Alligator mississippiensis: one gene and its partner. The protein of the gene in region 2 interacts with the protein of the main gene of each other region in a biochemical or structural test. Links are inferred from orthologs where the notes say so. Each region holds a gene or a part of one and is shown on either strand. Other genes may lie near its edges.

Evidence for each region.
Region 1: the proteins of RRM1 (region 2) and RRM2 form a complex in vitro, tested with the Homo sapiens proteins (3 studies listed by BioGRID and IntAct). The link is inferred for Alligator mississippiensis from reciprocal best matches to the Homo sapiens genes RRM1 and RRM2.

What each region holds. Positions count from the first base shown.
Region 1 is NC_081824.1:30,484,227-30,500,118, forward strand, and holds the start of RRM2 (ribonucleoside-diphosphate reductase subunit M2), read right to left. Parts: upstream 7,857-15,892; 5' UTR 7,804-7,856; coding exon 7,708-7,803; intron 7,619-7,707; coding exon 7,541-7,618; intron 7,423-7,540; coding exon 7,276-7,422; intron 5,438-7,275; coding exon 5,321-5,437; intron 4,740-5,320; coding exon 4,606-4,739; intron 3,702-4,605; coding exon 3,607-3,701; intron 1,626-3,606; coding exon 1,492-1,625; intron 1,029-1,491; coding exon 924-1,028; intron 781-923; coding exon 667-780; intron 232-666; coding exon 79-231; 3' UTR 1-78. UniProt on the Homo sapiens protein: Provides the precursors necessary for DNA synthesis. Catalyzes the biosynthesis of deoxyribonucleotides from the corresponding ribonucleotides. Inhibits Wnt signaling.
Region 2 is NC_081824.1:481,569,198-481,585,957, reverse strand, and holds the start of RRM1 (ribonucleoside-diphosphate reductase large subunit), read right to left. Parts: upstream 7,129-16,760; 5' UTR 7,038-7,128; coding exon 7,019-7,037; intron 6,279-7,018; coding exon 6,190-6,278; intron 4,233-6,189; coding exon 4,055-4,232; intron 3,116-4,054; coding exon 3,015-3,115; intron 2,252-3,014; coding exon 2,192-2,251; intron 633-2,191; coding exon 593-632; intron 1-592. UniProt on the Homo sapiens protein: Provides the precursors necessary for DNA synthesis. Catalyzes the biosynthesis of deoxyribonucleotides from the corresponding ribonucleotides.

The DNA of each region.
Region 1 (15,892 bases), about 450 Mb from region 2:
ACATAATATGCGACTCGAGTCAATGCTTCGTTCAAACAGCTGGGCATCCACGTTGCAGCCTAAGTGGTCTCAGTTCATTCAAAATTCTGCATCCAGAGTGAAAGAGTTATCTGTAGGTTTCGACATGACTCCCATCCTCTGATATTCTCCTACTCTCTTTTCAAAGAAGTTTGTCTTGCCTTCAAGTGAAATGTTCTCCATAAAGTCAAATGGATTCTCTGCTCTGTATATCTGAAAAGCAAGGAGAATTCTAACAGTCTGAACTGAGATTAAAACATTGAAGGATCAATTGGGAAATAAAAATCTAGAAGGGAATCCAATTTGAATTATTTGCTTGAAGGTTAGGGTACTTATCCAATAAGCAAAAATTCCTTCCATCCTGCCTGCTTCATCACATTTGGCTTTAGGAAAGCAGCAGATCAGTCCGGGACAAGAATATAATGACTTTTGCAGTGTACTCTTCCCTTCATTCTGTCCACTTGCCTGCCACTAGGTATTAAATCATGTTGCAGGTCTCCAGACAGGGCACAGGCAGCAGAAGCAACCCAGTGATCAAGAGATGGCCAGGTTAAATGGATGGTGGCAGCCATTTTGGTTATTCAGTGGTCTTAGGGAACAATGAACTGAATGAGACCCTGTATTAAAGATGCTGCCTAGAAGTCTTACCTTGCTAAATCCCAGTTCCAGCATAAGTCTGTCAGCTACAAATTCAATGTACTGCTTCATTAAAGTGCAATTCATGCCAATCAGCTTTACAGGTAATGCCTCAGTCAGGAATTCCTGCAGGTAACAGAAAGTTAGCTACAAAAGGCATTCAGACTTACAAACACATTGCTGTCCAGGGCAGCTTTATGCCCCAACTGCTTTTCAGCTTTATGCCAAAATAGGCTAACATCTGTCAACTAAAAGAAAGGGCCAAATACCTGCTCTATGATGACTGCATTGGAGATGATTTCTTTTACTCTTTCCTCTGAAGGTTTGTGCACCAAGTGCTTGAACATTAAGCAGGCAAAATCGCAGTGCAAGCCCTGGAAAGGAATTTCAAGTTATTTCAGAAACACTGATTACAAGAGCCACTCAAATCAGCAGCACATCGCTGGACCCAAGAACCAGGCATCAGCCCAGTACCCAAAGCCTTGGCAGCTAGAGCTATTTTCAGACGGAACTTTTTCCATGGCACTGAGTGCTAACCTAACTTAGTATTTCCCTACTTGTGGTACCTGCTTAGAACTAAAGGCATATTCAACACAAGAAAGCCACTGAGCAAGTGTCATTAGTTACTACCTTAAATGATTCTCAGACACTTTGCCCTTTTCAGGACCAGTCAGTTCATAAATCTTTGTTAGTGTGAAGTCACTTGGTCTCTAAGGTGCCACCTTGCCCTGCCTTATTCATAAAGCTTGGGGTGATCCTGCCTTGAAGCATATGCTTAACTCCTTTGTCATCACTGTTAGTAAATGTGGTACATAGTAAACTTCATTTAGCTCTTACCTCATCTCTACTGATGAGCTCATTAGAAAAAGTGAGTCCAGGCATTAATCCTCTTTTCTTCAACCAAAAAATGGATGCAAAAGAGCCAGAAAAGAAGATTCCTTCCACTGCTGCAAAAGCTACTACACGTTCTCCTGTCAGATGAAAAGTTCAGTTTACATTTCATGCCAAAGTGAAAATTTACCGTTATTATACCTCCAAAGCAATACATTGGCCTGTACCAACTTAGATAATTTTTTTTCATTCACAGATGGAAACCATAGCCATGTTAGTGTTATGTAGTTTTCTCTGGGACTGACGCATTCTACACCTTTACTTCATTAGAAAAACTGGGGTGTCGTTATAGTTGCAAGGGTCCAGGAAATATCACCAAAAATTGTTGTTCTTGCATATTTCATAGGAGCAAGCAGAGTTGGAAAAGATGTTAGAGGAACCTTTGAGCACAAAGTGGCTGTTTCCAGATCTGGGAAAGAGACAAAACTTTCTACCCAAAACTTGTTGAGAGAGATTTAAACTCCACAGTTGCTCTAATAAAAATTCAACAAAACCCCTTGTTTTTTCACTAAGACAGATAGTATTTAAAATAATCTACCTGGGTAAATAGCAATTTCACTGTGTGAAAAACCTGTGAAACTGAAGCTCAGACCTTTCCTCCCCTCCCCACGATGTGCATAGCTGACAACTCAGTGTTGAGGTGGGCCAAACTGCTACCATGCATAGTGTTTGTGGTCTCTAGTGATTACACATCCTCATCCTGCAAGTGAGAACCTCAACAGGCATGAAAGCATCCAACTAACTTTTGAGGAAAGATGTATTCCTGGGGAAAGACGTGACAAGAAAGTAGAGGGAAGCTCAAGAACCCATACAAAACATGAATTAAATCCTTCAAGGAAGCAAAAAAAATCACCCTTTCTAGACTGGTTGAGGAATAAAGCTAGACCCCCTGCAGAGCAGCTGCTGAATACACCAGCAGCTATGGCAGGGTTGTCACAAAGGAGCAAAATGGGAGTCAAAATGCCAAAAAAAAAATAAAAACCAAACAAAAAAATCCCTCAAACACTCACAAAAGGAGCTGCTTCAGTGGCACATTAGAAGGAACAAAGGTAATTTAATCTAATCTAATCTTGATAAAGCTACTTTTAAGATTTAGAGCAATTATTCACCCTCAAGATTAAAAAAAATCTAGAAGAGAGCAACAGTAGTGACCAGAGGTCTGGGAAACAACTTACCAGGAAAGACTAAAACAAAAAACAAAAACAAAAAACAAACAAACAAAACCGCTAACATTTAGTCCTGGTAAGAGAAGACCAAGGAGGGATTTGATAGCCCCCAAATAACTTAAGGGTGATTATATAGGTGAAGAAGATGGACTATTCTGTGGTTGCAGGGCACAGGACTAGAAAGAAATTTCTCACTATGCAAGCAAGTTAGCCACTGAAGCAGGTTTACCCAGAGCCTGTGGGCATCTCCATCCTTAGAAGTTTTTAAAAGCAGCTTAGACAAACACTTGACAAGGATGCCGACGCCAGGGATGATCCTGCTTTGGCCAGGATGGCTGGACTAGATGACCCTCAGAGTTCCCTTCCAGCACCATTTATCTATGATTGCCCAAAAGCCTGTCTGACATCTCTCCCGATGACACAGGTGGTCCAATAAAAGATAGCACAAAAAACCAACTTTTTGGCTATTTTCTTGACCTTCATGGCTACACTATCCCTCTAGTACAGGGGGTTTCAACTTATTTAAAAAAAAAAGTGTACCCCAGTGGCTCCATGTCCAGCCACCAGGGGCAGTGTAGGGTGGTGGGTGGCAGCAGCAGCAGCCACCACATGCTAGCTTCTTTCCCCATGTCCAGCTGGTACCTGTGCAGGCCAGAGGACAGAGGAGCGCCGCTGCCCTCATCCCTGTTCCTGGGAGGCGGCAGTGTGGAATGATGGGTGGCAAGCGCTCTGTCCCCAGCCGTCCGTCTACACATACCTCCTAGGGCCTTCAAGTACCCCTGGGGGTACACATACCCTGTTGACAACCCCTGCTTGGAGGAAACATCACTACTGAAGGCTTGCATGGGAATGACATTCAATATCCAGGAAATGCATACTCCAAAACTGCACTCACCGTATGTTGCTTTTCTGTCTCCAATCCAACGCAAAGCCCAATCAGCTTTCTTTTTAACACATGGCAGAGTTTCAATAGCATTGAAAAGAAATTCCCTGAAGAAAGTGTATAGTACATTAGACAGAAGTCTACATGGCAGACTATTCAATAAGCATTTGCTAAGAGTTGTCATTAAAAGTGCTGTCACTGAAGCAGCTTTAACTGCCTGCAGCTGATGTATTTTTAAATGTAAAGACCTTGGGGGCTGAGATTTTTGTACCACTCCAACTCTGTCATCCTGGCCGATCAACTGAGCACATTTACCCAGGGTTTTCAATGCAACAGTCAGTCCTCACACAAGGCAGCAATATGGCTTTGAAATTAGCCTTAAAATTGTGGGGGATTTTGTTTTTGTTGTTGCTGTGGGGTTTTGTTTTGTTGTTTTTTTTAATTGCTCAATCTGTAATACTTTTTAGACTGATAGTCTTGGAGCTAACCCATTTCCACATCACCAGTTTTCAAAAAGGAACTTGTTCTTTGGATGGCAGTTTTTAAGCTTTATGTACATGTTGCTGTCAAAAAGGAATGTGTGCTTTGTTGCATTAGAAACTACTGGTTTAAAAATAGTTCAGCAAAGTGTCACATATTTCAGTTACCTTGAAAGGCAGTACCAAAGTGGAGATTTAGTCAAAAGAGCTGTTGTAGTTCTCAAAGAAACGCAGTACTGGGTCATTTATCTGTTCACTGGCTAATGCAATGAAGGCTTAGTCCTCTACAGCATAAACAAAATAGTTTGAACGTTCTACCTACATCTTCAACTTACCATCGCTTGTCATTTATACTTGACAAATTCTGTTTGCATAATGTTTTGCCTTCCTGCTCTACCACCAGATTGTTCTCAACCATGTTTACCAATGCTTTGACCATCCTAACTTACTATCTTCCAAAAAAATCAGACCTCTCCATCTTTTCTTGCCTCCACTTAAAATAATTAAGCCTTTTACGATATATGATACTAACCTGTCTTTTGGATCTTTTATGTAAGTGTCGATAAGCAGACTGTACATTTCTGAATGAATGTTTTCCATGGCAATCTGGAAGCCATAAAAACAGCGAGCTTCTGTGATCTGCACTTCTTGGCTAAAACGCTCCACCTAAAGGAGAAACCGAATAATTAAACATTTATAGAAATAACAACCAACTACAGGTTGCAACAGAGCTATGAATCCACACAAGCATATTTAAGTAAGTCACGATAACTAGGAATAAGACAGGATAGTTCAATATTCAGAACTTATTCTGGTAACACAAGTTAGAATACCAGCATTCCTTTGGCTCTGTGTCCCAGAAAAGTGCCTCCATTTTAAAAAGGAGGAGATCTGGAGACTGAGTGATCTGCCTAAAAGCCAAACTAGAATTAGTGACCGAATGAAGAATAAAACCCAATCTACTCCAACCCTTTGTATTCTCTTTATAAAAAAAAGAAAAACAAAAACTCTGCTTTGTACTCATCAGGGAAGTTTACTGCCAAAAATGCAGATTCTAGTCTAAGGAACAATGCTGGCTTTAGGGAAAAAACAAGGCCTCCTTCCAAAAAAAGCAAACAAACCCAGAAGTGTTTAATAGGTTTTGGAGCAGAGCAGTCCGTTAGTAAACATCTTATGTTGTTATCTGGTTAGCTCCACGCTAGCCCAACTGCTTACGATTTAAACAGGACTGCTCTTCATACACTCACCAAGTTTTCATTTACAATGCCATCACTTGCTGCAAAGAAGGCTAGGACATGCGATATGAAGTATTTCTCCTCAGGCTTGAGGGACTCCCAGTGCTGAATATCTTTTGAAAGATCCACCTAACAAACAAAAAAAACCAAACAGGCAGCAATTCATCATTGTCATGATTGGAAAATATAGGGTTTGGGGTTTAATATATTGCATTAGACCCATTAGGTCCCATTCTCAGTCTTCCTTCAACCTATAATCCCCGCCCCCAAAAAACAGTTATGAAATTAGAGGTGTGATCCTAGAACAGGGGTGGGCAATTATTTCAGTTGCATGGCCACCTAATGAGTTTTGGTAAGCTGTCAAAGGCTGCATAAATATTTCAGACGATATCATTTTAACAAGTTAACAGATCAGATCCTAAATACCAAACATCTACTGCACTTTAATTTTAATTAAAAAAAAATATTTTTGCCTTGACTTATTATGCAATCACCTCTATGTGTACTAAAAGTATAGCTCAAAAACAGTCTCACTCTTGTATGTGGGGGGGGGTATGCAGGTGCCTGTGAAGGGAGGGGGGGAGGGGTGTACAAGTTGTAGCAGTGTTGGTCTACAAGCAAGAAGGAATAAGAACTCTTGGTAGAGGTGATATCTTATTAGACCAGCTGGATATTTGCAAAAAGTATTTGCAAGCTTTCAGGGACATGTGAGGGAGTAGGCATGTGGGGCGAGTGTAGGGTGTGGAGGGCATGCAACAGAGCTCGTCCAGACAGGTTGCAGACACGTCACCCTCCCCTCCCCCACTAGGCTGCCTCAGTGGCACTCTGCATGGGGCTAAGCCCCACCTACTCCTGCCCAGGGCAGCCCATGCCACATTCCCACCTGCCAAATAGCACTGCCAAGGTCTGTGTGCGCAGCTTCCCAGCAGGGCTGCTCCCAGTGCTACTTGCCCCCTATGTCCAGCAGCTCTTCCTCCTGCTGCACTGCTCCAAACAGTGAGGCACCACACATGTAGCCAGCAAGGGGGAAGTTACAGCTCCCATGCCAACATGTGGGACTATAACTCCAGGTTGCCTTCCATCTAGTCAGCTGCCTAGCAGGGTGCTCATTGTGCCAGGCAATTGAAGTAGATGGAAGGCAGCTAGGAGATGAAGCCCTACACACTGGGGCAGGAGCCACCAGGCTGCAGCTTCCCCCACACCTGGCTGGGCATCTGCTGCCCAGCATGCATCCCCACAAAATGGTACAGGGGCAGGTGGAAGAGGAGATAGGTGGGAAATCAAGCAGCACCCAGGCAGCTGCAGCTACACCAGGAGCAGCTCTGTGGGTGAAACTGTGCACACTGGCTAGGATGGTGCTGCCTGGTGGGTGGGGGGGAAGGAATGGGCAGGACTCACCCCACACAGAGGGCCGCAGGGGTGGGGGGCAGCCAGGCTGGATACAACTGAATTGGTGGATGCCTGTCCATGGGCAGGATCCAATAAGTTGACAGGCCAGATCCAGCCTGTAGGCTGTATTTTATTCACCCCTGCCCTAGAGCCATAGCAAGTTGCAATGAAGTTTCCAACTACCTTAAATTTTTTTCACTTGAGAAGTGCTCAGGTGCTGGTGTCTAGGCATGTGTATATGTACAGATGTAACTAGACACCAGGTGCATGCACCTGAGCGCTTCTCAAATGAAAAATTCAAGGCAGCCAGCTGAGTGCAAGAAGCGAACCCTGGAAGGAACAGCAACAGGGTAGCCTCCTTTGCTTGATACCCCACAGATCAAAGTATTGGAGACCTCCAAGCCCCTGCGGCCCCCCGGGTTTTGCCATGGGGATCATTTTAAAGCCACAGGGCTACTTTAAAGCCATTGTCTGGTCCCTGGGTAGGTGCTATCAGGAGCCCAGTTGTGTTGAGTGGGGATCCCGGCTGCCGCCCCCACTGCCGGGAGCAGCTGCCTGATGCCCCGGGCCGCACTCACCTCCTCGGCGGTCCAGAAGGAGGCCTCAGCCTTCTTGTACATCTGCCACACGTCGTGGTACTGCACGGGGAAGATGACGAAGCGGCGCGGATTCTCCCGCAACAGCGGCTCGTCTTCCGGCCGGTGCGGGACGGGCTCCGGCGGCGCCTGCAGGACACGCGGGGAAGGTCACGGGGGGCCGTGGCAGCGAGAAGTGGCGGGAAAACAGCACGTGGGGGGGGGGGTTGGCGGGAACGGAGCACGTGTGGGGAGGGGGCGCACTCACCGGCTTGGCGTCCGCGTCCTGGAAGATCTTCCGCGCCGCGCGGCTGGCCAGGATCCGCGTGCTGCTCAACGTCGGTGGCTGCGGGGAGAGAAGGGGAAACGGGGCATGAGCAGGGCGCGGGCGGTGGCAGCGGCTCCGAAGCCGGCTGGCCTGGGGCAGGCACTCACCGTGTTCTCCTTGTCGCTCAGCGCCAGGTGCTTCATGGGCGACAGGCGCGGCTGGTCGTTGCGGGCCGAGAGCGGGGCGCGGGCGGGCTGCATCATGATGCTAGTGCTGCTGGCGGCGGCTGTGACAGGGCGCAGGGCAGGAACTGGCGCCGGCGGCCGAGACCCTTTATATCCCCCTTCGAACTTGGCGCCCGAACGCCGCGCCCACCAATGGCAGCGCGAGCCGGCCTCAGAGCTGCGCTCCCATTGGTCCGAGTGGCCGCCGGGCCACGCCCTCCATTGTACATGAACGCGGGAAGAGGGGCCAAGCCCGTCCCCTCCGCGCTGCCATTGGCCGGAGCTGCTGGCCTGGCCACGCCCCCTGCACAGAACAACCGCGGGAGCTGCAAGCGGCCCCTTCCCGCGCGAATTCTGGCGCGTCGCCTCTCGGGATGGCCCCTCCCCCACGGCCAGGCCCGCAGCGCGGAGCTTGGGAGGGGTCCACGTCCCAGTCCCGGTCCCCAGCACACGGGGATTAGACGGCGCCTGGGGCTTGCGATGCCACAAGCTGGTAGCGGGGTCGGGTGCAGAGACACAACTCCAGGCAAACCCGGAGATTGCACACAGGAATCCGTGTTCTGCCCATCCGTCTGCTGTGGGCTTTCTGGGGGTCTTGGCAACAGAAGAATTCATCAAGTCCTAGAGAAGTCGGGTGGAGGGGACCTCCAGAGCTCATCCAGTCTGGCCCCCTGCCTGAGGCAACATCACCGCCATCCCAGCCATCCTATAAAGTCATAATCTAAACTCTGCTCAGCCCTGACACAACACAAACTAATGCCCTCACCTGCTGCAGGTAAAGCAGGGGAACCCCTGGCAGCCAAAATCCTACTTCTATTTATTTCAATCTAGTTGAAGTATTTCAGTGTATTTCATGTGTTTCAGCACATGCTCAAAAGAGATCTGGGGTACAGACCCCTGCCCCCCCCCCTCTGAATTAAGGCTAAAAAAACCCCAAAACCCACAGTCTGTGCCAGTCTGACTATGGGGTAAAATCTTTCTGCCCCCAAATACAGTAAGTGGTCTGACCATGAGCAGAGGGGCAAGACCATCTAGCCAGGAACCTCTGGCTTTGGTCCCAGGAGGAGCATTGGCACGCCCCACAGTCCCCAGCCTTGGCTGTAGCCAACACCCAGTGCCTCTGAGGGAGGCTTGAAAACATCCCCACACATGTAGCAGAAAGGGGGCTGGGGGAGGGCAGGGCAAAGTTCAGAAGTAGAGGAGATACCCACAGTAAAATATAGGCATAGCTATGCCTCGATCAGCTCTGGCCCTGTGGCTGTCCAATTTCTTGAAGACCTTCAGTGACAGAATCCATAGGCGATGCGTTGGGGGGGGGGGGGACATGTGCCCCCCCTGAGATTGGCTGCTGCCAGCTTCTGTGGGTGATCACCACTCACCACCCCATTCCCTCCCCCCTCGCCGCCGATGCTACTGCCTACAAATGATGCCCCCCTGTCTCAGGAGGCACCAGTCGTTCATGGGAGAATCAACAACTTCTCTGGGCAGGCTATTCCAATGTCTTGCTGTTCTAATACTCTAGTATTTTTCTGAAGTCAAAAAAGAGTGACAACTAGGAGCTGGCATTTTCTGAGAGTGCCCTGGGTCTGAAACCACAGGATTATACAAAAATAGGGCCAGAAGGGGCCTTATGAGGTCACCTACTCCAGGCCCCTGCTCAAGGCAAGAGCTGATTCTATTCTGTGGCAATGATTCCCACTGATAAACACAGGCTGTGTAAGAAGAGGTTTCCTTTTATATGCTTCAGAACTCCTACCTCCCCATTGAATGCCCTTCTGTTCTTTGTAAAGGAAAATGAGAGACCCTGCTTGAGGCCGTGCACAATTGTTGCCAGCTCTTGTGCATTCTTTGCACACGAATTTGGCAGGGCAGGAGCAGGTCTCCCACAGTAGAAGTTCCAGCCACACCTAAATGTCAGCGGTGCTTGGGAGGAAACAGCCTCTCACAGCAGCCAACACAGCTCCTGCAGGAAGTACTCTCTCCCTGCCTTCAAGAGGCCACAATATAAGCACAAAGGAAAAGAAAGAATCCTCTAATCCTTCACACTCCAGTAAGCACAGGAATGGGACCTAGTGTAGGAAGGCGGGGAGGACATAGTATATTGCTTCCCCCTTCCCAGCCTGGGGAAAAGGTGAGGGTGAAGAGCCCCAAGAGCTGCTGGGAGACAACACCAATGTGTGGTTTGGCCCTCTTATAGCAGGGACAAAAAACCCCTTATTTAGGAGCACTAAAAACAGTAATTAATTATCACACACAGGAGCAGCAGGGAGGCTTCAAAAATCACTATGCAGATGAATATATGTTTTTTTTAAACAAACCTCACTGACTGGGGGGAGGACTAACTCAGGATTTTTGAACCTTTGGAATTGACAAAAAATGTACTTTTGTTTTGCTTTTTTTCCAAAGCTATCATATCCTTTCTTGTTCATCGTTTCTCCAGCCTACAATCCTAAAGACTCCTCTCCCAGCTCCTATTGAAATCTCTTCATAAGTTTCATGATTTTTGTTCCTGGTTTCTGGATCACTTCTATTACAATTACATCCTTTTTTTTTTAACTAGGACTGACTACAGAATACTATATGAAAAGGTGGCAGTGAGAGAAGAGATGTATGTACTGGCATCAATTAGAATATATTTAATTAGTAGATGGTTCAGAATCAGCAGTCTAGAAGTGTGTGTGGGTGGTTGCAAAAAAGAAAAACCTTCAGAGTGAATGTTACTGAAGCAGGAATGTCCAAAGCCTTGTCAAGATGGGCACGTTTTACGGGTTTAACTTAAATTTGCTTTTAAACTACTACAACTGAATCAGTGCTGTTCCTGTAATGAATTATGATTTAAAGAGTAGATCAAGTCAGTCTTTTTTTTCATTTAAATTTGTTCCCAATTAACTCAAGCTAAAACAATAAAAGCCCTCCTTATATCATCCTTATATCCCTAGATTACACAAGGGATTTGTAATGTTTTAACTATATTGTTTTAAATATATATTTGAAAAGCCTTGCTTACATGAGGAAATGTACTCGGATAATTATATCCCTACAGTTATATGGCTGTGACTGCCCAGGCACATATTTTTATTCCAGCTAAGAATGTCCATGTAGGGAGTTATACTGGTATAATTATAGCAGAATAATTATACTGTACATATCCTCATGTAGGCAAGCCCTTTATGTTATACCTGTGTAATATTTCCCCTGCAGAAAAGACCCGATTGATATGCACACGGCGTTCTGTACTATCATTTCAGGCTGGGAACTGCTACATATATTCCACCAGTGTAAATATAGTGCAGCAGGTGTACCACTAAAATTATACCAGTCGTTTCTTCACATAGACACATACTGATATACCAGAACAACTTTCCCCACAAAGATGAGGCCTGGCTGAGGTACACACAGCCTGAAATAGTTCACAGAACTGTTTTCCTTATTTTAGTTGGGGGTTAGCTCAAGACCTAATTTAATATAAACAGTGGCATCCATTTCACACCCAACAAAGTATGCCAAAGAGGAAGAGAGAATTAACAGCTTACATCTTCCAAAGACTTAAGCAAGTGCTTAACTTCATCCTAGAGGGTCTAAAAGTAGATTCCCTATGTGTTATAGATGTGGAAAAGAGGGAACAGCATAAATAGTGCGTCATGGGCTGAATCAAGAATCTGTAGCCACCCACCCTACACAGAAGGATATGCCCAAATTGCAACAGAGTCTGTTAATCCTAGATTGGCCACATCAGCCGTCTTCAGATTCACAGATAAAACAATCATGGAAATCAATCATCCTTGAGACTGCAAGGGATTGCTGAAGAAGAAGATAGACCTGCTTTGATCTTTGCAGGATCAGGGCATCTACTCCAAATTTCTTTTTAAATTTTGGTATCAAAAGTTGGGTTTATGCTGGAGCATGGAAGAAAATCACTATTCTCCTCCCTCCCATCTGATTGCTGTTTCCGGTGGGAAGACTTGTTTTGGTGGAAGATCATCTGTGTATATACACACCACTTTCACATATCCCTCCCCACCCCCTTTTTTTTTTTTTTAAACAGACAGCTGCTAGAAAGGGAAAAAGACCTGAAAATAGTTAGAAAGAAATAAAGAACTGAAGGCAACTATCAATGGAGGTTTCTCAGAAGCAAGGGAGTGTGACACTGTGGAAGTTAAGGATTAAAGGGTAGAATGAGCAAGTGATCACAAGCAGAAGAAAACGACAGCCAGAGAAGCGGCCAGAGCATAAACTGTAGTTGGAAAGGTCCCAACTGCAGAGCTTTGCAGAGCCTGGAAGGCTGCAGACAAGACCCTTGTTGCCACACAATGTTCTACTAGCAGAACTACGTCAGCTAAGGGTGTCCTGGAGCCAATATAACTTCACCAGCAAAACCCGCAGTGCAGATACAGCCTCAGTGTGGATGTACAGAGCTTCTACACAGGGAGAACTCCTGTAGCTGTGGCAGCAGAAAATCTCCCATCTGCTAAAAGACCCACACAGTAAACTGCCTCAGTACCACTGCTGTAGCTGAAGCAGTAGAACTTCCCTAATATAGGCAAAGCCAAGGAATTTTATATCAATGCAGAGCAAGAGTAATAAATATTGATGGTAATGTATTATTATTAAACTAGCAAACTGCCCATCAAGAATGATAGAGGAAAGGGAGCTGGCAGGGAAGAAGCCCCATGTCCATAGTTTCATAGTTGGTAGGGTTGGAAGGGACCTGAGCAGATCATCAAGTCCGACCCCCTGCCATGGGCAGGAAAGAATGCTGGGGTCAAAAGACCCTGGCAAGGTGTCTATCTAGCCTCCTTTTAAAGACCCCCAGGGTAGGAGCAAGCACCACTTCCCTTGGAAGTTGGTTCCAGATCCTAACTGTCCTGACAGTGAAGTAGTGCCTCCTGATATCTAGCCTGAATCTACTCCATCAACTATCTCCATCTATCTCCATCAACTTATGGCCATTATTCCTTGTTACTCCCAGTAGTGCTCGGGGAACAGGGACTCTCCCATTGCCTGCTGGCCTCCCTTGGCCAGTTTATAGACAGCCACCAGATCCCCTCTCAGCCTTCTCTTGTGAAGGCTGAACAGGTTCAGGTCCGTAGCCTCTCCTCATAGGGCCTGCCCTGCTGCCCCCTGACCATGCGAGTGGCCCTCCTCTGGACCCTCTCCATGTTGTCCACATCCCTCCTGAAGTGCAGCACCCAGAACTGAATGCAGTACTCCAACTGCAGCCTGACCAACGTCGTATAGAGGGGGAGGATCACCTTGGACCTGCCTGTGATGCATCTGTGGATGCATGACAAGGTACAGTTAGCCTTCCTGACTGCATCCCTAATTGGCGGCCCATGTTCATCTTGGAGTCAATAGTGACTCCAAGATCCTTTTCTGCCTCTGTGCCGACAAGAAGGGAGTTCCCCAGCCTGTAGGTATGCTGCTGGCTCTTTCTCCCTCGGTGCAGTAACCTGCACTATTGAATCCCATCTTATTCTCATCTGCCACCCCTGTAACCTGTCCAGATCCAATTGCAGCCTGTCCCTCCCTTCTAGTGTGCCCACTTCTCCCCACATCTTAGTTTCATCTGCAAATTTGAACAAGGTGCTTTTTGGGTGCCACTTCGGGTCTGACCCCACTCCCCCTATTACCCCTCCTTCCCCATGCTTCAGGTCTGACCCTGCTCCACCCCCTTCCCCACCCTCCGCCCTGTTTTGGCAGAATATTTTTAACATTATGGATTTCTCTTTGAAAAACCTGGGTTTATCTTGTGAATCATGTTTACACACCTAACAGTATTAACATTGCATGGCACCATCCCACACTCTTGAAAGGACAGTTCAACTAGTGTGAGACACTATTACAGCTGGTACATGCTATGCACTAGGCAGCATATTTTTTCAGGTGCATGCTTCTTTTCTTCCTTTAGGGAAAATTTAAGCATACTTTTTCAGTTCTTATACAACTACATAAGACAACCTAGCCTAGAGCTTAAAATTGAATTCAAGCTTCTGCTGGCCCTTCTCCTTTCTTTACATAACCCAGTAAAATTATCACAATCACCAGTTTACCAATGAACTTAGAAGCTTGTGAAGCATTGTTTTACAAAATATATATTGCCTTTGTTATTCAAAAAGTGACATTTTCCTCTCTCCGACTCCCCCTCCTCCCCCAACTCAAAAGAGTTTAGTCATGACAACTTGCAGTATTAAAAATGAATAACCTTTGAGAGGATGTGGTCTGTCACTGTTTCCAAATATGATGAAAGAGATGCGTCAATCCTCCAACAAACGTCCCAAATGAACATAATTATAGATAGATTCAGAGAAGACTTAGATAGATAGATAGATAGATAGATAGATAGATAGATAGATAGATAGATAGATAGATAGATAGATAGATAGATATGGACTTTGGGATTTAAGAGGTATTAGAGTGATACAGTAGCAAGGTTAAACATACATACATGTGTGTTTTTGATCACTGAAATGACATATGTCAGGAAACGCCCTCCATTGTGTCACCAAAGGGTTACAGCGGGTTACCAAAGGGTTACAGCAGCAATGAATTTGGCTCATACAGCCCTCAGTTTGTTAAAATCAAGAATGTGCTTAAGTGCTTAATGCTGACAATAAGTATCTATATGGGTAGAATGGCTTAAACATTACTGGCTTCCATCTGACCTAAATACAGGTTCTTAAGCACTTTCTTAACATAGACCCACAAGCCTTAGGCCCAATTCTGCATTGGCTTGTGTGACTGCTACGAAGTGCTCAGAATCCTAAATGCCCAAAGAAGTCAATAGGAGTAGAGAGCCCTCAGTACTCACAGGGTTATGTCTATAACCATACACCCTTTATGACACCTCTTTCACAATACTGGAGCCACCAGACAAATAGTTTAAGAAACAAAGGGAGCTAAGTGAGCAGCTGGATCCATGGACAGCGGGGCCTCAGCCTTTTTACACATAAAACAGTTTGAAGAAAGCGAAAGAGAGCCAACAGCTTGATTTTTGTAGTCATGACAAGCAACAGGGTCACTAGGCAGCTTGGTATCGGTGGTGAAACCAAAGAGTCATCCCTTCCCATCCCTCCCCCCAGCCCAGCAAGTACATGACTTCAGTTTTAATTGAAGTTTGTGGTTACAATATTCCCCGCCCCCCCAAGCCCAGTGATTCCAGGAATCTCAAACCAATTTACAATTTCACATGAGAATATTGCATAACATATACACAGCCTCACCCTTTTCACACTATCTACTGCTACCCACTGCAGTGCATGCAGCTCTAACCCACCCTGCCACCTTTGTGCCAGGAAGCTTACAGACAGTCTTAGCTACATCCAAAGCATTGCTGCTTGCCATCACTCATTGGCTGGCACACCTCCAAAATCAAGGGCATCAAGGGCAATAGTTTCCCAAACTCTGGACAGCAGTGAGGAGGAAAACAAACAACCCAGTTATGGGGGAGGACTGCAGCCTCAGTGATGAGGTTACAGTGCTGCCACAGTCTGCAATTGTCAGAGCTGTCTCTGCAGGAGAATAAAAGTGCAAGCTCTATCTATACACAGGACTCTCCTGCTGCTTTAGTTATGGTGATGGGAGTCAACGAGAGCCACTTCCATGTGGCGATCCCTGGTAATATCTCTGATGGCCAAGAGCTCCCACATGGATAAAAACACCGAAGCACACCAAGATTAAGATGCTGACACTTTTTGTCATACAAAAAAAGTTATGGTGATGGTGCTATGGCAGAAGGCAGGGTAGCCATGCACCTTATATACTAACTAAATAAGCTACATATAGAGCATAAGCTTTCACGAACTCAAGTTCACTTCATCAGATGTGATGCTATGGCAACCCAGTCCCCTGCTATTGATGCACTGCTGCTGGCAGGAGTTTTTTTCTGCTGCAATAGCTATACCAGCTCCCCCAAATGACAGCCATGGTGCTGACAAAACTACCTTCTGCTAGAAGAGCAAAGCCGGGTACGAGATGTGGTCTTTTCACAGCCTGAGCCAACAGAGCTTGGTTTTTATTGAATTCAGTCAGACAGTGCAGTCAGACAATGCAGTCTAGTGTTTATATGCTGAAGGGAAAGTCTGCATCGAAGTGTATTCTCTGTCATGTTCCAAGACCACGGAGATCACAA
Region 2 (16,760 bases):
AGGCTAGGCACTTTCTAGATTCTACATATAATAATAAACTTCTCACCACCTTGATGCCAATGGAATTTGCAGCATAAGATGGTGCGGTAGCCATGTCAATTTAAAAATTCCCACACATCAAGTGGCGAGTCGCTATCAGCCTGCTAGAACAGTGCCTTGTGTGCCCTAAGATCTCAAGTATGGCATGGCAACGGGGCCCAAATGCTGCATCAGTGAAGTGTCCCTCGCTGAAACCCCACGGACATTATTTAAAACAAAACAAACCAAACTCAAGTGGTTTTAGCAGCTGGTAACAGTGCTGCATTCTTAGTGCAGTTGCAAGTATCCTTACAGCTATGAAAAAAGCGATTCTAACTGATTTTACCAACAGGTGCTCAGGAAGGATATGTGCATGCGCAAAGCAAGGAGGGAAAGGCAAAGCTTTATAATGCTGACAAGGTAACTATAAGGGTGCTGTGTGGGTGCTGCCTTTGAAGGCCAACGTACAGCTGAGTATTCAGCAAGCAGCAAGGACATGGCCTGACCCCATTTCACCACCTGCTCTGATCCCACTCTCCACAGAGGGGAGATTGGAACCACAGCCAGTTCTTACCTTTTGAATTGATTTTCAGCAGATAGGAGCGCTCGAGAGTCTTTATAAAAAAGAAACGAAAAAGAAAAATCCTTCAGTAACCAATAGTTTAGGTCCCCATTTAAAAACCTGACTGATTAAAACTCATGTTCTGGGACCAACCAAACACCTGCAGCTCAGCCTTCCTGCCCCCAGACTTCAACACCTGCTAACGCCTACTCTGCTCTTCCGTCTTTTACCCGATTCAAACCCAAGCATAGGAGGTACTTTAAGTGCAAGTCAGCAAGATGCCTGCCTAGAGGAGTCTCTCCAGCTGAATGCATGTAAAGGAATGACTGAACGGTGAGCTTTATTGCCTAATTTCAGCCCAGTTTTGCTAGGGGGAAAGAGTGCTTGGTTCTCCGCTCCACCCCTCCAGGTGGTTTTTCCAATCCCGTCATTACATTTGTCACAGGAGTGCTAGCAGTTGGCCAATGTTGGGCACTGTCTGAACATGTACAATGCAATGGTGGCACAAATCATGTTCATTCTATAATGAGGAGTGGGGGAAAAGGCAAGTTCATCAGCTGGAAATAATATAAAATTGGGCCACTCTTAGAAGTGTTTTAGAGAGGTACTTGTCAAAACAGCTGAAGACAAGGCAGAGCTGGGGTGGGATCCTCTCAGCAGCAGCATGGAAAAAGGCACCAGTGAGTGATAAGGCAGGCAGAGGAGGCTGTGCTGAGCAATGGAGAATGCTAAGAACTGATCTATTTGGGTTTTGGTTATTTTTTTTAGCATTAACATGGCAGCAGATGGCTGTGGACAGCTTTGCACAAGATCCTACTGACCATGTCTTACTACACATGGCAGCCAGGAGCCAAAGGGGCTGCAGCCCTAAACTGGGATCAACTACAGTCACCCCAGCCAAGAGAACTGAATTTCGTCATCAAGAACAACCGCATTTTTCCTGTTATAGGAGAGAAGCCATTTGGCAAGTAGGCTCTGGAGTCATCACAAATAGATGCTCAGGCGTGCAACTGTCGTCAGCCTGCTGCTCGGTTACATGCTCCCCACTAAAACCCCTTCCCCCACATTCCCTCACAGTAGCTTCAGGTTATGCTGGGCCTGTCTCCTGTTGCCAGGTAATTCAAAAAGAAGTGGCTGATTCACATGCAAGTGCAGCGCTGCGGAACAGAAGCAGGACAGAGGGCAGCACGCACAAAGAAATGCTGCAAAGCTGAGTTACTGCCCAGAGCTCCATTTGACAGCTGCCCACAGCACAGGATAGCAACCATACTCTTGGGTGTACTATGGCAGAAGGCTTGCTCCCTCCTGAAATGGTTCTGCTGTCAATCCCTTCTGTCCCCATGCTAACCAATCATATACTCGAAGGACTGAGGGGGGGCACCATATTGACTGCATTGAGACTGTAATGCACAACCAGGAAAAGGGCACAACTCATTCACTTTGGCTACTGCCTTATACAGGACGTTGTCTCTACCACAGTCCCACTGTCTCATCTATCCCAGGGCTGAGTTTCTGAAGTGATGGTTCTGCGGGGTCTTACTCTTCGGTGGTTACATGGCTTGAAAATAAACAACGGCGTAGATTCACTCTTGTAAGAAACCTGCTCTTTACCTTAAAGCCAAAGTAGTTGTAGGAGAAATCTCTGTCGTAGATGATAGCAGAGTTCAGGCGCTGAGGAAGAGAGAGTATGGAGACAGATTAATCATTTAATCAGGAGATCATCTGTACCGCTCATCATGCCTGCAGTCTCACATTACTGATACCACAGTGCTCTCATTGTTCAGTGCCCCTGATTTTTCTGCTTCTGGCCTCATAACTGAACAGATATAGGCACCAGGCAGAAAAAAAATTTAGAGAAGTCATTCTTAGCATAAAATCTCAATTTCTTTTGCCAGGCATTAATAACATTTCTCTAAAGACAAACTACTACCTTCTGGCCCATCTCATCCATACACCTACATTCCAGTTAGAGCTCAAGCTGGATACTAGGAAATGCAGGGGGTGGGAGAACTGCACCCTAATTCTGGTTTCATGGAGTTGGTTAGAGCTGTGCCAGAAGATAGAGACCAAACACCATCTCTTTCCTTGAAAGTTTGTTGTATGAAAAGATGGAATCTTATTTTATTAAGTTAAAAAGCCATTTTCTGTCCAACTAATTGTAGATCCCACATGCCCCAATCCCAGAGTGATGAGAGCCATACCAAAACCACAACAGATATCCTGCTTATAGCAACACTGGAAGCATCCTTCAAGGGCAGCTCTGAAGTGGCCTCCCCTACAAACCCTTCAAAATACAGCAGTCATCATCTATGTTAATTTCCATCAGCATAAAGGGATTTTTGTTCCAGAAATCAACCCAGTTTATTTTGTTTTAAGCCTTTTAAACTAGTTTACTGATTCTTCAGATCTTTAAATTCAATGAAGTGCAACATACATCTTTGTTGGCCAAGACTATGTCTAGCGTTTCCTTGGAGATCATTGGGGAGTGCTTGCCATTGTGAGGGTTTATATAGTTGTATAGATCGTCCATCACATCTGCAATGGAAATACAAACAGACGGTCAAAATAAAGCCAAAAATATGTACAGTCTAAAACTAATTACAGGTATTTAATATACAAGAAGCAATGGTCTCAAGTTACAGCAAGGGAAGTTTAGGTTAGATATTAGGAAAAAATCTTCTCACTGGGAGAGTGGTGAAGCACTGGTTACCCAGAGAGGTGGTGGAGCCTCCATCCTTGGAGGTTTTGAAGACCCGGGTAGACAAAGCCTTGTCTGGGATGATGTTGTTGGGGCTGATCCTGCTTTGAGCAGGAGGGCTGCACTAGATGTGACCTCCTGAGGTCCCTTCCAATCCTCATGGATTTTCTATGATTCTATTTAGCAATCCCCCACCCCCTCCATAAATGCATGCACACCATCTAACAGACATCAACCTGGTTATTGTCCTCTCTGTCTAGTGGCAAGAATATCCAGTACTCAGAAGCTGCTGGTCCCAAAATAATTTACTTTTAAAAAAGAACCTCTAGACAAACAAAGTATCCAGTAGTAGTTAGATAGCTCCCCGCTTATCTCAGCCATTATCAGAAAGCACCAGACTACAAGTAATATAAATGATTTAAATGTATTTTCTTCTCACCCTTATTTATTTTTGAAAGTGAGGGAAAAAGCCAAGGAAAGTGAAGGCATTCTGATTTTAACACAGAAATGCTTGAATATAATCTTTTCAAAGCAACCCTGCTAACAAGCCAAGTGCTCTTGACTCCAAGGCATGCGCATCTCAGAAGCTGTGTCCTGCAGCTCCATGGTGCGTCAGGATCTTGGTTTTATGGCTAGAAGAGGAGGAGGTCTGGCCATCCCAGGCCCAAATCACTTTAAGGAATGGTTTGCCATATTTACACTCCCAACCCGTTTCTGACTCCCTCCTCATGAACAGAGCACAGGCTGTTTCGAAGCACTCTCAAACATGCACTCACCACTAAACACTTTCTTGGTTTCTTTGTGCAAGTTGGAGACTGCGATCCTTGCTGCCAGGATGGCATAGTCGGGGTGTTTGGTAGTCAGGGTCGCAGCCGTCTCCGCAGCCAGTGTATCCAGCTCTACTGTGGTAACACCGCTGTAAAGACCTTGGATCACTTTCATGGTGATCTGAGCCTGGGGAAATCAGAAATGTGGAGGTTAACAACAGAAATAAAAACATCTTTAGAGTTTAGACACACAAACATCTTTAGAGTGTTTTCTTCCAAGGCAGCTGGTGGTGGATACTATCCAAGACCAGCATCCTAGATAGAGGGTATTAAGTACAATATTTAAAGCTGCAACCCTTTCTCTGAATGCTGGAATCTGTAGGGGGAAAGAGGCAGGGGACAGATCAGTCTGGAAAGAATCAGCCTAAATACCCTTTCCCTTAGCGTCCACTCTTAGTCACGGTGAGACACAGGATAGTGAGCTAGGTGGACCCTGTGGTCTGACCCAGTATGGCACTATGTATGTTCTTATGAGACAGGATTCAGAATCAGGTCGAATACGAGTGTGATCTAGTGCAAGAATTGTCCTCTGCAGGTTTGAAATGCTCACTTGCCCTGGGTAGGACAGGCTGGCATTTTCAAACCCTGAATTAGACTGCAAGTTCTTTGAGGCACAGGTATTCTTCTGCTGTAGTTTGTCCCAAACCCAACCTAACAGGACCATGGTTCAGGACAAAGAACTTCAGAGCTACCTCAGAATAAAAAAGTCACGGAAAATTAATTTCAGTATTATTAATAGTCATATGGACACCAGGCCAGAAGTCCGGAGACTTCGACTCCCAATTCCCAGCTTTGCCAACAAGTTGCTGCACGACTGCAATCAAGTCAGCTCACCTCTGCACACAGCTGTTTCCTGGGCTGTATGTACAAAGGAGTCAATGAGGCTCTGTCCTCTTTGCAAAGCTTTGTTCAATAAAGCTGAAGAACATTATCCCCTCACTGCTACTACAGCACCGCTACTATGATGGTGCTTTACAGATGCACATAAAGACAAGACCTTTATGGCCCAAAAAGACTCTGATCTGGGGCCTCTAATTCTGCAATTTGCTCCACGTGGGAGGGCTCGCACGGTCCCACAGATCTCACAGGTACAGGGCAGAGCACTTTGCCGAATCAGGTCAGTGTCTTTTCAGTGTCAAACTGCTCAGAACAGAGCACATATCTTAATAAGAGGGTGGTTCAGTTCGGGGGGAAAAAAAGGGTATACCTTTTACTTTAATAACAGAATTCAAGGGCTTCTCTTCCACATATTCACGGAGGCAAATGCGGCAGGAGTTTAAAAACACATTTTTAAAGGTTAAAGCACTCGTTACACCATTTTAACAAACGGAAATAAGACATTTGAAATGGAGTAGCAGGGAACTTGTTTTTCTGCTTTTTAGCACCAGAAACTTCAAGCCGCATCTGAGGGACCCACGAGAAGGAATTTATAGCAGGGAAACATAGATGTATCCTCTCAGACTTTGTACCTATGGAGGAGAACAAGCCAAAACGCAAACATGTGGAAGGATTGGGCTACGAAAGGAAAGAAAGGACAAGGTGGTTGCCTTAACCAGGTGACATCTGTCACTGGTACCCTCGGGGTGGCATTTTCTGGACCCCTATTTCCATTAGAATAGTTGGTCCTAAATGTTTTCAGACCCCTCAGAAAAGGGCAGCTCTTCATTTTCCTTTGTCGTTTTTGACTACAGACAAAAAACAAGGGCGATTCTCCTGTTGCAAAGAGCTCAGCAAGCCCACAACAGGGCGGGATGTTTTTCACGCTACGGATTCCTGTTTGAAATCTCCCGGGTGATTTTGGGAGTCGTGTCTGCCGTGCTAACCCAGCGTGTCACGGCCCAGCGTCCTGGTTGAGGATCAGCGCTCTAGAGACGAACAGTTAGATGTGGCGGACAGGCACGAGGCACCGCGACAAGATCCCCCAAATCTGGCACAGCACCGCGGTCGCTTATAAGGTGCTTTCCACCCATTTCCATGCAGGCTAACCGAGGCAAAGCCAGGGGGCAAATTTCTAACAGCAAATTATTGTCTATAACAACCGCGGGAGGGAGGGATGGAGGGAGGGGTACGACCAGCAGACTCACAGGATCGACGAAGTCGGCGTTGAGCCCGTAGCAGAGCTTCTGGATGCGGGACGTGATCTTGTCGAACATGACGCGCTCGTGGCGTCCATCTGCGCGGCGCCGGGGAAGAGACAGACACGCGCCCAGACGGGCGCTAGCACACGCTGCTCCGAATGCAGCACGGCGTGACACCCCCCCACCCCAGTGCCCCCCACCCCATCAACTACCTGGAACCAGTCCAATGCCCTGGCACCCCACAACTCCCCCCCCCACCCCAGACACTGCCCCCCACCCCCATCAACCCCCCAAGACACCCCCAGACCCCATCAGGACAGCACCCCAACCCCCATCAGCCCCCCAAGACACCCCCAGACCCCATCAGGACAGCCCCCCACCCCCATCAGCCCCCCAAGACACCCCCAGACCCCATCAGGACAACCCCCCACCCCCATCAGCCCCCCAAGACACCCCCAGACCCCATCAGGACAGCCCCCCACCCCCATCAGCCCCCCAAGACACCCCCAGACCCCATCAGGACAGCCCCCCACCCCCATCAGCCCCCCAAGACACCCCCAGACCCCATCAGGACAGCACCCCCACCCCCATCAGCCCCCCAAGACACCCCCAACCCCCTGTTAAGCCCCCAGGACAACCCCCGTTAACCCCCTGGGATACCCCTCCCCCCAGACCCCATCAGGACACCCACCCCAACCCCCATGAACCCCCCACAACCCCCGTTAACCCCCTGGGATACCCCCCACCCCATTCACCCCCAGCCCCCCAGGGACCCGGGCTGCCCCACTCGCCCCCCCCCCCCCCCAGGGTCTAGCGGGGGGGGGAGGGGGCGCACCTCGCTTGATGACGTGCATGGCGGCGTCTCAGGCCGGGCCGGGTGCGCGGGTCTGAGCGGTTCCCGCTCCCGCCAAGCCGCGCTGACCCCGCCCCGCCGCCGTAGCGCGCCTCGCCCCGCCCCTTCCCTGACGCGGCCGCCGCCATCTTGGAAGCGGGCAGCGCCCCCCCCTCCCCGTCCCCATTGCCCTATCAATACTCTCTCGCACGGCCCCGCCCCGGGGGCAGCCCGGCAGGCCGCGTGCCCGTTTCCAAGATGGCGGCCGCGAGCCCGCCTCTGAGGGGAGAGCGGGCCGCGCCGGGGGGAGGGGCCAAGAGGCGGGGCGGGGCCACAGCCGCTGAAGGGTGATGGGGGGACAATTTCTGAGGGGAGGTATGTGGGGGAGGGGGATTCCCGGAAGGGGGGGGGGGTCTCTATGGTGGGGGGAGGGGCAGTGACCTTGAGGGGGAAGGGTGAATGGGGGGGTTATTTCTGAGGGGGGGAGGGGAGGTATGTGGGGGGGGGCTTACCTGGGGTTGGGGGGAGGGGCAGAGACCTTGAGGGGGGAGTGGGGGGGCAATTTCCAGGGGGGATGGGGGTGGGGGGGTGCCCCAGTGGAGGAGGGGAAGTATGTGGGGGGGCAGGGGTTCATGGTGGGGGAGGGAGACACCCCCCCCCCTGTGGTGAGCACATGTGACGCAGGACACTGTCCACCGTGGTGGCCGGGACGCGGTCACCTTTCTTTTGCGAAGCGCCATAAGCACGCGCAGCCCCCCCCCCCCCCCCCCCCCCCCCGCACACCGGCAGGACGTCATAAAGAAGTTTCTTTCCTTGCCGGGTGCGACCGAATCCATCGCTCGCCTGACGTTTTCTTTCCGTTTCTCCAGCAGATGGCACCCGAGGACTCGACAGCGTCCGTCCCGCAATTTCCCTCCCAAAAAAAAAGTAGCGCCGTTATTACGTAACAGCGGCCGGCGGCACCCAGAGACCGCGGAGACGCGAAGGGGCTGCGCGCGGGAAGCGCCGCTCTCCTCCCGGACGAGACGTGGTCTTTCTTCTAAAGCGCTTGCTATCGCGACAAGAAGCCGGGGCGGATGCGGCGAACGGAGGCGCGTGCAACCGAGGAGGTCGCGAACATCACGCGGTTGCTCCCAAACGTCTCGTAGGCAATGAGGGCAATAGACATCGAGTGCAACACCCTGTTCAGAGCAGGACCAGCCCCAATTACATCATCCCAAACAACGTGTCAGGGTGTTTTTAAACCTTCCTCAGAGGCATCTCCAGTCCAACCCCTTGCTCAAGAGTAGGACCGCCGCTAAATACATCTTCCCAGCCAAGGCTTTGTCTACCCAGGTCTTAAAAACCTCGACGGATGGATATCGACCCTGTTCCAGTACTTCACCACCCTCCTATTGAGGAAGTTTAGATATGAAGATATTAGAAAAACTTCTTCATATCTAAGCGAATCTTCCCTCGCTTAGGTAGCTTGGGAAAACAGTGCCAAGTGACTTGCTGGCACATTTGACAAATGCAGAGTCAGGGCTGAGGTGGATGACGAAGGGGAGACAAGGATCGGTGCCTCAATAGCGCTGTTAGATGGGAGGATTAAGTCGGAGATGGGTCGTGAAAGGCCTTAAAATGGTGGACAAGCGGCTGGGACTGATCTCGGGGAGAAAAGGGAGCTAGTGGTAGACACGGAAGGAGCATGCTTTTTACAGCAGTGACTCTGTCGCCATTTAAACCTCACAGCAAGCACGCTGTCTTTGGGGTGCAAAGTGCTATATACGTCAAAATGCATCCTTTCGGCCATCAGAAAGAGCCTGGTGACCAAAAGCCCTTGGTGTGCCTTCAGGTTTGGCAATCAGGAAGGACCGATGTGGACGCAGCAAACTGCACGGTGGAAGCCAGCTTGGAAATAACTGTGGGAACGTGCTTGCGCAGCCTGCCCTCCACCTCCGAGATGCGAGGTAACGCTGCAGCTCTGCAGAGGAAGTTCTCGTCTTTGTTGCTTCGTTTCTTTCCAAAATCATCGAGGTCTTTTTGATCTTGATCGTTCTGTTCCGAGCATGGTCGCACCTCAGGAGAGAGGCTGGGTTTCCTCTGCCACGGTTTAACCCGTAAGCTGTAAAATAAAACATCCTCATGTGTTACTGTAAAGACCTTCAAAGAAGACCCAGTCAAACACAGTGCAAAGGAGCTGGAAGGGGAAGATCTACGAACACAGTGTGGGCTTCAGCTGACTGAATACTGTGTCCTTTCCTCCGCAAGCTTAGTGCTCACAGCATTGCAACTATCAGAGCCTGAAACCCATTCTGGTTCCAAAAAATCCCCATGTCACATCGTTAATATGAGTGTGCTGTGAGGCCTACAGTCTCACACCAGGCTTCCTGTTAGTTCTTGCACACTGAACAGGAGTGAGTTGGGGATCTTCAAAGATGCTTGTGGTGCTAGTGAGCCAGGGCTTGGCGGTTTTCAATTGAATCAGAAACCAACCAGCGCCCTAACCGGCTGCTAGGGGACATGCTGCTGCTAGTACTTTTCCTTTCCGAAGAAGATAGGAACAAAGGACCCAACCACTTGTGCATGCTAAGCAGTGTACACCCCAGTATCCCAGCCAATGTATGCCTAGATCTACTGGATCTAGTGTAGGGGCCTGGACTGGATACTCTCTTGAGGACCTTTCTAGCTCTGCATTTTTGTTGTCATGTTCTGCCTCGTTGATGTCCCTGTGTGCTTTATGCTACCCTCCTCTGCTTCCTATCTCATCCTGTTGTATATACTGCTTTTCCTGATCAGGCTGAGCTGCTTTGCAAAAAAGAAATTCCAGATTTCTTGGGCCAGAGAAAAGCAAGGTGGAGATGACTTAAGCCCTAGGACAGGGGAGACCTGGGTTCCCATGCAAACAGTCCTCGAAGGGGACTCGACCACATAGCGATCCCTGGTAACATCCGTGACGGCCAAGAGCTCCTGAATGGACGAAAACGCCAAAGCACACAAAGATGAAGATACGGACCCCATTTTTGTCATACAAAAGTTGAAGTCCTTGGAGCAGGGACTGTCCCAGGCCTTTCCCTCTCCCATGTGAGGGATGAAGAATGGAAGTTATAAGTAGCCAGCACTTTGTAAGATCTGAGCAAGAAAGAAATAGAGACGTAGGGTCCGGTATTTTGCCACCTGGTTATTGAGGCCTCGATTCAAGGAAGCGTAGGTTCACCTCCCTCCCTGCTCAGCGCAGCGCTTCAGCAGCACAGCGGATCTGTTCAGAATGACCCGATTCCACTGTGGAAATCAGAGCACTTTATCTCTGTGGAAAGTGCATGTAAGGCATTATACTCGTCTTTGCATCGCTTTGCCCAGGCATAAATGACTTCTCAAGGTGTGGGCTGGTACAGGACAATCAGACCCAGACTACTTTTAGGGGTCAGATCCTGCTTGCCTTGATTTTGATCTTGCCTCAGTCACTTCAGCAGACCCATGAACCTCAGTGGCACCTACCAGGATTTGGGCCTTGTGTGACTGCAGAAATATCACCGTGCGACAGAAGATGCCATAAAATGGAAGTTACCACAGACAGTAAAGGGGAAGGTCTCTTTCTACTTCCTTTTTCTCCCACAGAACAGGTTTGTGGGGCCAACTTCCACTTTTCCCCTGGAGTAGGCAGCCTAGATAGCAGCCCCAGCCTAGTGGAGGAGGTTTATTTCTGCAAGAATGCTGGGGGACACGCAAGTAATTCAGATATAGATGGAGCTGTCTGCTTAGTAGGAGACTTTGCTATGGGGGGAATATGATCTCAGTCTCAAGCACGACTTTTCAGAGAAGTCTGCTGCATTAGTTTGTGTGTTGATCTGTTCTGTTTTCTATATCTTTCACCTTCCTAAGCAAAGCTGCTGAAACTAGACCTTGATAAGATGGGTACTTTCTGCTTGTTGGGACTTAGATGGGTTGTATGAGGATCTAGATACAAACTCCCACAAAATACTTGCAGAGCTCCTGACATGCCAGAGAAATACACATGTGCAAGGCAGAGCGGTTGCATCAGCTAATTAAATGCATGAATTGCTCTGGATTTAGCTCTAAATGGGCAAGTGGTGGTGTATGGCAGGGAGTCTGGAGCTAAAGAAAGTTCAGATACGGATATTCCCTGTGAGGTTTGCTGGGGAAGCAGAATAAAGCCAGGACAACGGAGATCTGGCCTCAGCAAGGATTGGGAAGGAGCATGGAGCTCACCAACTTGAATGATTAAATCCCTGTTCAAAGCCCAACTTGGTTCCAGCAACAGTGGCTCTCTGATGGTTGCGCGGGGCCTTGTGGAAGATGGTAGCAGTCTCAATTAAGTCCTGTCCCTGCCGGATCTGCTTTGCCCGGTCTTTGCCCCGGGAAGTGGAGATGCTTCTGGAACTGCTGTTTGCTGCTGCTTGCTTCCCTTCACCGGGGCACTTTGCAGCTTGGAGTGGGCAGTGGGATAAATCATGGTTATTTTCCCCCCCAAACTTCTTTATGTTCTTCATTATCACAGTTTCCTGCCCCTTCCTCTCCCCCACCCCCTTTTTTCCCCTTTGGGGCATTGCCGCAAATGTCCCGTCTCACAATGTGTTAGCGCAGGCCCCATACCCCGTACTGGGGAAGGGTGATTTGCAACGGCTGTTTTTTTAGGTAACTACACCAAATGCCCAGCCCGAGATACTTCTAGGATAAGAGAAGCAGCTGCAGAGTGGGGTCTAAAGACCAAGCGTGCAATGCTGGGAGGGATCACAGGTTGAGATCCTGGCACAGGGTCTCAGCCCTCCAATCAAAACGTGCTGCAGGGAGTTTGCTGTGCAAGGCCACAGTAACTAAGGTCCCATCCTGCTCTGGGTGGAGCGGGCTTGTCTCTCACAGACACTGGGCGCGTCTACATGTTCATTACTGCTCGTGTAGTTCAGTACATGCTTAATGAGGTACTAACTAAATACGCAGTAACTATAGTTACTGCACAGTAATGTCGGTGCAGTTTTTTCATGACGCTTATTGCACAGTAGCCTGATAACACTGTCCAGTAGCTTCTTAGCATGGTTTTTGACCGGCACACTATTGCCTGGTGTTCTTAGGTTACTGCGCAGTAAGCATCTCATGTAGATGCACCTACCGAGCACCCGCAAACCTCATGGATATCAGCGGGCTCAGCGCTTCTGAGGCTGCAGCCCTCTGCAATGTCACCTGGAGATAATGTTCTTGTCATGGACCAGAGTGGGCAGGAGATGTCGCTGTTCCAAAATAAAAGCAACCAGAAGGTTCATTTTGTGGTGCCTGATGAGAGCACAAAATTACACCTCAACCAAGCGAACACAAGTCATTTCTGAAAGCTGACGGGATTGAATCCCCTGCCTCCTCCAAGCTGCAAAGTCCCCCAGTCCACCCTGCAGCCCAGCTTGATGGCTTGGCTGAGGAAGCCCTGTCTGCCCCAGGGTAGTTTGTTCCAGCAGTTAATCCCCCGCACTGTTCAGAGCACATTCCTTATTTCTGATGTGTGCACGACAGACACTTGAGGCTGCCGCATCCGCCCAGAGGGACCAGGAGCTCCCTGGCCCTGATTCGGAGAAGTATTATGCTGAATTGTCTTTCCATGTTATTGCAGCAGGAGAGAGGAGAGGCTCTGCGTGGGTGTGATCTGACCTATTCTGCAGCGGCCTCTTTTCTTTTCCCATCCGCCTCCTATATCAGAACAGCCCTGCCGCTACACAGCAAGTCCAGCGTATGGATTGCAGGCAGACTGGGTAAGTGTGTACCCCACCATTCACACTTTAGACACGGTGGGCACAATCCAGTGCTCTGCAGCTAGTAGTGTCCCGACTCATTTCGTGGGGCATTTTAATATGCATGTTATTTTGACTAACAGAATCAGACAAGCAGCTAAACAGAAACATGTTTGGGTTAAAGCAAACTATTAACTAAGGTGCAAATGCAAATCTATGAGACTGGTCTGCTGTTATCCCTGCTTTATTGTTCAGAAACAAGGACCACATACACTACACATATTTGAGACCAAATGCTAGGCCCATCAAGATACATGTGAGATAGATGTTAGGCACATCAAGAGACTGAACAGCTTCTATATGAGATGTCTGCGTAACATCCTGAAAATAAAGTTGGGAAGACAGAATACCAAACACAGAGGTACTGGAGCACGCAGGACTGACACGCTTAGAAGCTGCTATCAAGAAGAGGGGGTTGTGATGGATCAGCCATATCAGGAGAATGGGAAGAAACGGTATCCCCAAGACTATTTTGTGCAGTGAGATTCAAGAGAAAGTGGAGTTGCCCTTTGCGGCTGTACCACGACATGTGCAAAAATGATATGAAGTCGTTCAACATCAACATAGAAAGCTGGATCCTGATTGTGCAGGATCCCGTTTGGTATGGGGGGAACTTGGGGCATGGGGGCAGCTCAACAAGAAGCGGCTTTGATCCAGAGGAGGGAAGCAAAGCGAGGAAGAAGAAAGCAGCAAGCTGTAAACTTGAACTCCAACTCAGACAACACCTGGATCCATTAAACTTACGACAAGCTGTTGCTCTCAAATTGGCCTTGCGAAACATCCACAAACGGATTCAGCAGGCCATGCACATGTCACCATGATCCACTGCTTTCCGAGTGTGGAGCCCTGCCTCATTCAGGCCACGCCGCATCTCATCCCATGGAGCACTTTCTGTCTCACCTCCTGGCCACCTGGATGGCTTGTTCCACTTTCAGTGTATTAGTAATGCTTCTAGTTTCTTTATAACTGAAGAAAAATGGGTGTTTTTACATGTGACGATGCCCCTCACCTTCTGCACTCCCTTTCTTAAAATCCTAGATCCGCCCATGTATACAGAGGCTGTGTCAGGATTGTCTGAGCATCCACTGGGGCAGACTGGAGGGTCTCCCTCCTCCGGACCTCGCAAGGGTGGCGGTGCAGGATTTTTCTCCTTTTCTTAGCCACGCACAGGGACACATGCACCACCCTAGACTGTTCCTCTGTTTAACGAGATTTCACAGACGAGCACTCAGAGGCGAGGAAATCCCAAAAGCCTGACCGACTCTGCCACCTACACACTAGGACACAAATTTCAATCCCATGCATATGTGGTGTTTCCCAGCATACAGTACATCCTGTTTTCTATAGCCTCGTGCAGTGCAGTGGATAGATCAATGTCTGTTTCCAACCACAGCCTCGTGTGGGCTGCGAACAGATGCCTTTGGTGGACTTGTACAGGAAATACCCATAAGAGATTCTCCAATGCAATCACAACGTCCTGCCTCGTGGCACTTTCTCAAGGAAATTTCTATTCATGTTAAATACCGATGTGAAGGAGGAGTATGCTATGCAGTGGGCAAACTACAGCTCTGTGTCACAGCCTCACTATATCACTCTGGGTGAGTCACTTGTCTTCTCCCTGCCTTTGTTTTCCCATCTGTAAAGTGGAATCTGTAATGGGCTTCAATAGTCAATATCATAGAATCATAGAAAATGAGGGTGGACGGGACCTCAGGAGGTCACATCCAGTCCAAACCCCTGCTCCAAGCAGGACAGCCCCAACTACATCATCCCAGCCAAGGCTTGGTCTAGCCAGGGCTTAAAAATTTCCAAGGATGGAGAGTCCACCACCTCTCTGGGTAACTGTTCCAGTGCTTCACCACCCTCCTCGTGAGAAAATTTTTCTTAATATCCAACCTCAACTTCCCTTGCTGCATCTTGAGCCCATTGCTCCTTCTGGTAACATGTCTCTTCTGTTTCACAGACCTGCAGGCCATCTTCATAGATTCATAGATGTTAGGGTCGGAAGGGACCTCAATAGATCATCGAGTCCGACCCCCTGCCCTGGGCAGGAAAGAGTGCTGGGTCTAGATGACCCCAGCTAGATACTCATATCTAACCTCCTCTTGAAGACCCCCAGGGTAGGGGAGAGCACCACCTCCCTTGGGAGCCCGTTCCAGACCTTGGCCACTCGAACTGTGAAGAAGTTCTTCCTAATGTCCAGTCTAAATCTGCTCTCTGCTAGCTTGTGGCCATTATTTCTTGTAACCCCCGGGGGCGCCTTGGTGAATAAAACCTCACCAACTCCCTTCTGTGCCCCTGTGATGAACTTATAGGCAGCCACAAGGTCGCCTCTCAACCTTCTCCTGCGGAGGCTGAAAAGGTCCAGGTTCTCTAGTCTCTCCTCATAGGGCTTGGTCTGCAGGCCCTTAACCATACGAGTTGCCCTTCTCTGGACCCTCTCCAGGTTATCCACATCCCTCTTGAAGTGCGGCACCCAGAATTGCACGCAGTACTCCAACTGCGGTCTGACCAGCGCCCGATAGAGGGGAAGTATCATCTCCTTGGATCTGTTCGCCATGCATCTGCTGATGCACGATAAAGTGCCATTGGCTTTTCTGATGGCTTCGTCACACTGCCGGCTCATGTTCATCTTGGAGTCCACTAGGACTCCAAGATCCCTTTCCACCTCTGTGCCACCCAGCAGGTCATTCCCTAGGCTGTAGGTGTGCTGGACATTTTTCCTCCCTAGGTGCAGCACTTTGCATTTCTCCTTGTTGAACTGCATCCTGTTGTTTTCTGCCCACTTGTCCAACCTGTCCAGGTCTGCCTGCAGCTGTTCCCTGCCCTCCGGCGTGTCCACTTCTCCCCATAGCTTTGTGTCATCTGCAAACTTGGACAGAGTACATTTGACTCCCTCGTCCAAGTCGCTGATGAAGACATTAAAGAGTATCGGTCCAAGGACCGAGCCCTGCGGGACTCCACTGCCCACACCCTTCCAGGTCGAGACCGACCCATCCACCACGACTCTCTGGGTGCGACCCTCTAGCCAATTCGCCACCCACCGGACTGTGCAGTCATCCACATCACAGCCTCTTAACTTGTTCACCAGTATGGGGTGGGATACCGTATCGAAGACCTTCCTGAAGTCTAAGTATACGACATCCACCCCTCCTCCTGTGTCCAGGCGTTTCGTAACCTGGTCATAGAAAGAGACTAGGTTGGTCAGGCACGATCTGCCCGCCACAAACCCGTGCTGGTTTCCCCTCAGCATAATTTGTCCTGCCGGGCTGTCGCAAATGTGAGCCTTGATAATTTTTTCAAAGACTTTACCAAGGATGGAGGTGAGACTGACCGGCCTACAGTTGCCCGGGTCCTCCTTCCTCCCCTTTTTGAAAATGGGGACCACGTTAGCCCTTTTCCAGTCCTCCGGGACTTGGCCCGTGCGCCACGAGCGTTCGAATATTCCCGCCAGTGGCTCTGCAATGATGTCGGCCAGTGCCTTCAGCACCCTCGGATGGAGCTCATCTGGGCCTGCCGACTTAAAGGCATCCAGTTCTTCCAAGTGACTCTGCACCACCTCAGTGTCTGCGCATAGACGTCTGGCGCCTTGCTGCTGCCTCTCTACAACCCCAGTGAGAGACTTGTCGTGCCCCTCGCTTAGGAACACTGAGGCAAAGACCTCGTTGAGGAGTTCAGCTGTGTCTCCCTGTCTGTCACCAATTGTTTCTGCCCATTTAGCATTCAGCTCTACCTAAAACCTTCACTCAGATGTGGTCGTATTAACTCAGGTGTAAATATGACTGGCAGTGAAGTATTAGAGGCACTATCCAGATGCTCAAGAAGGCTAGATTTTTTTTTATGAATCTAAATAAGAGACGTGCATTTACTATAATGGCTACAGGAGACAATATCTTTTGACTATTTTGACCATTTTTTGCCTAGTTTGTTATGGTTTTTAAAACTTGATAGATCTAATCTGGCAAAGCAGT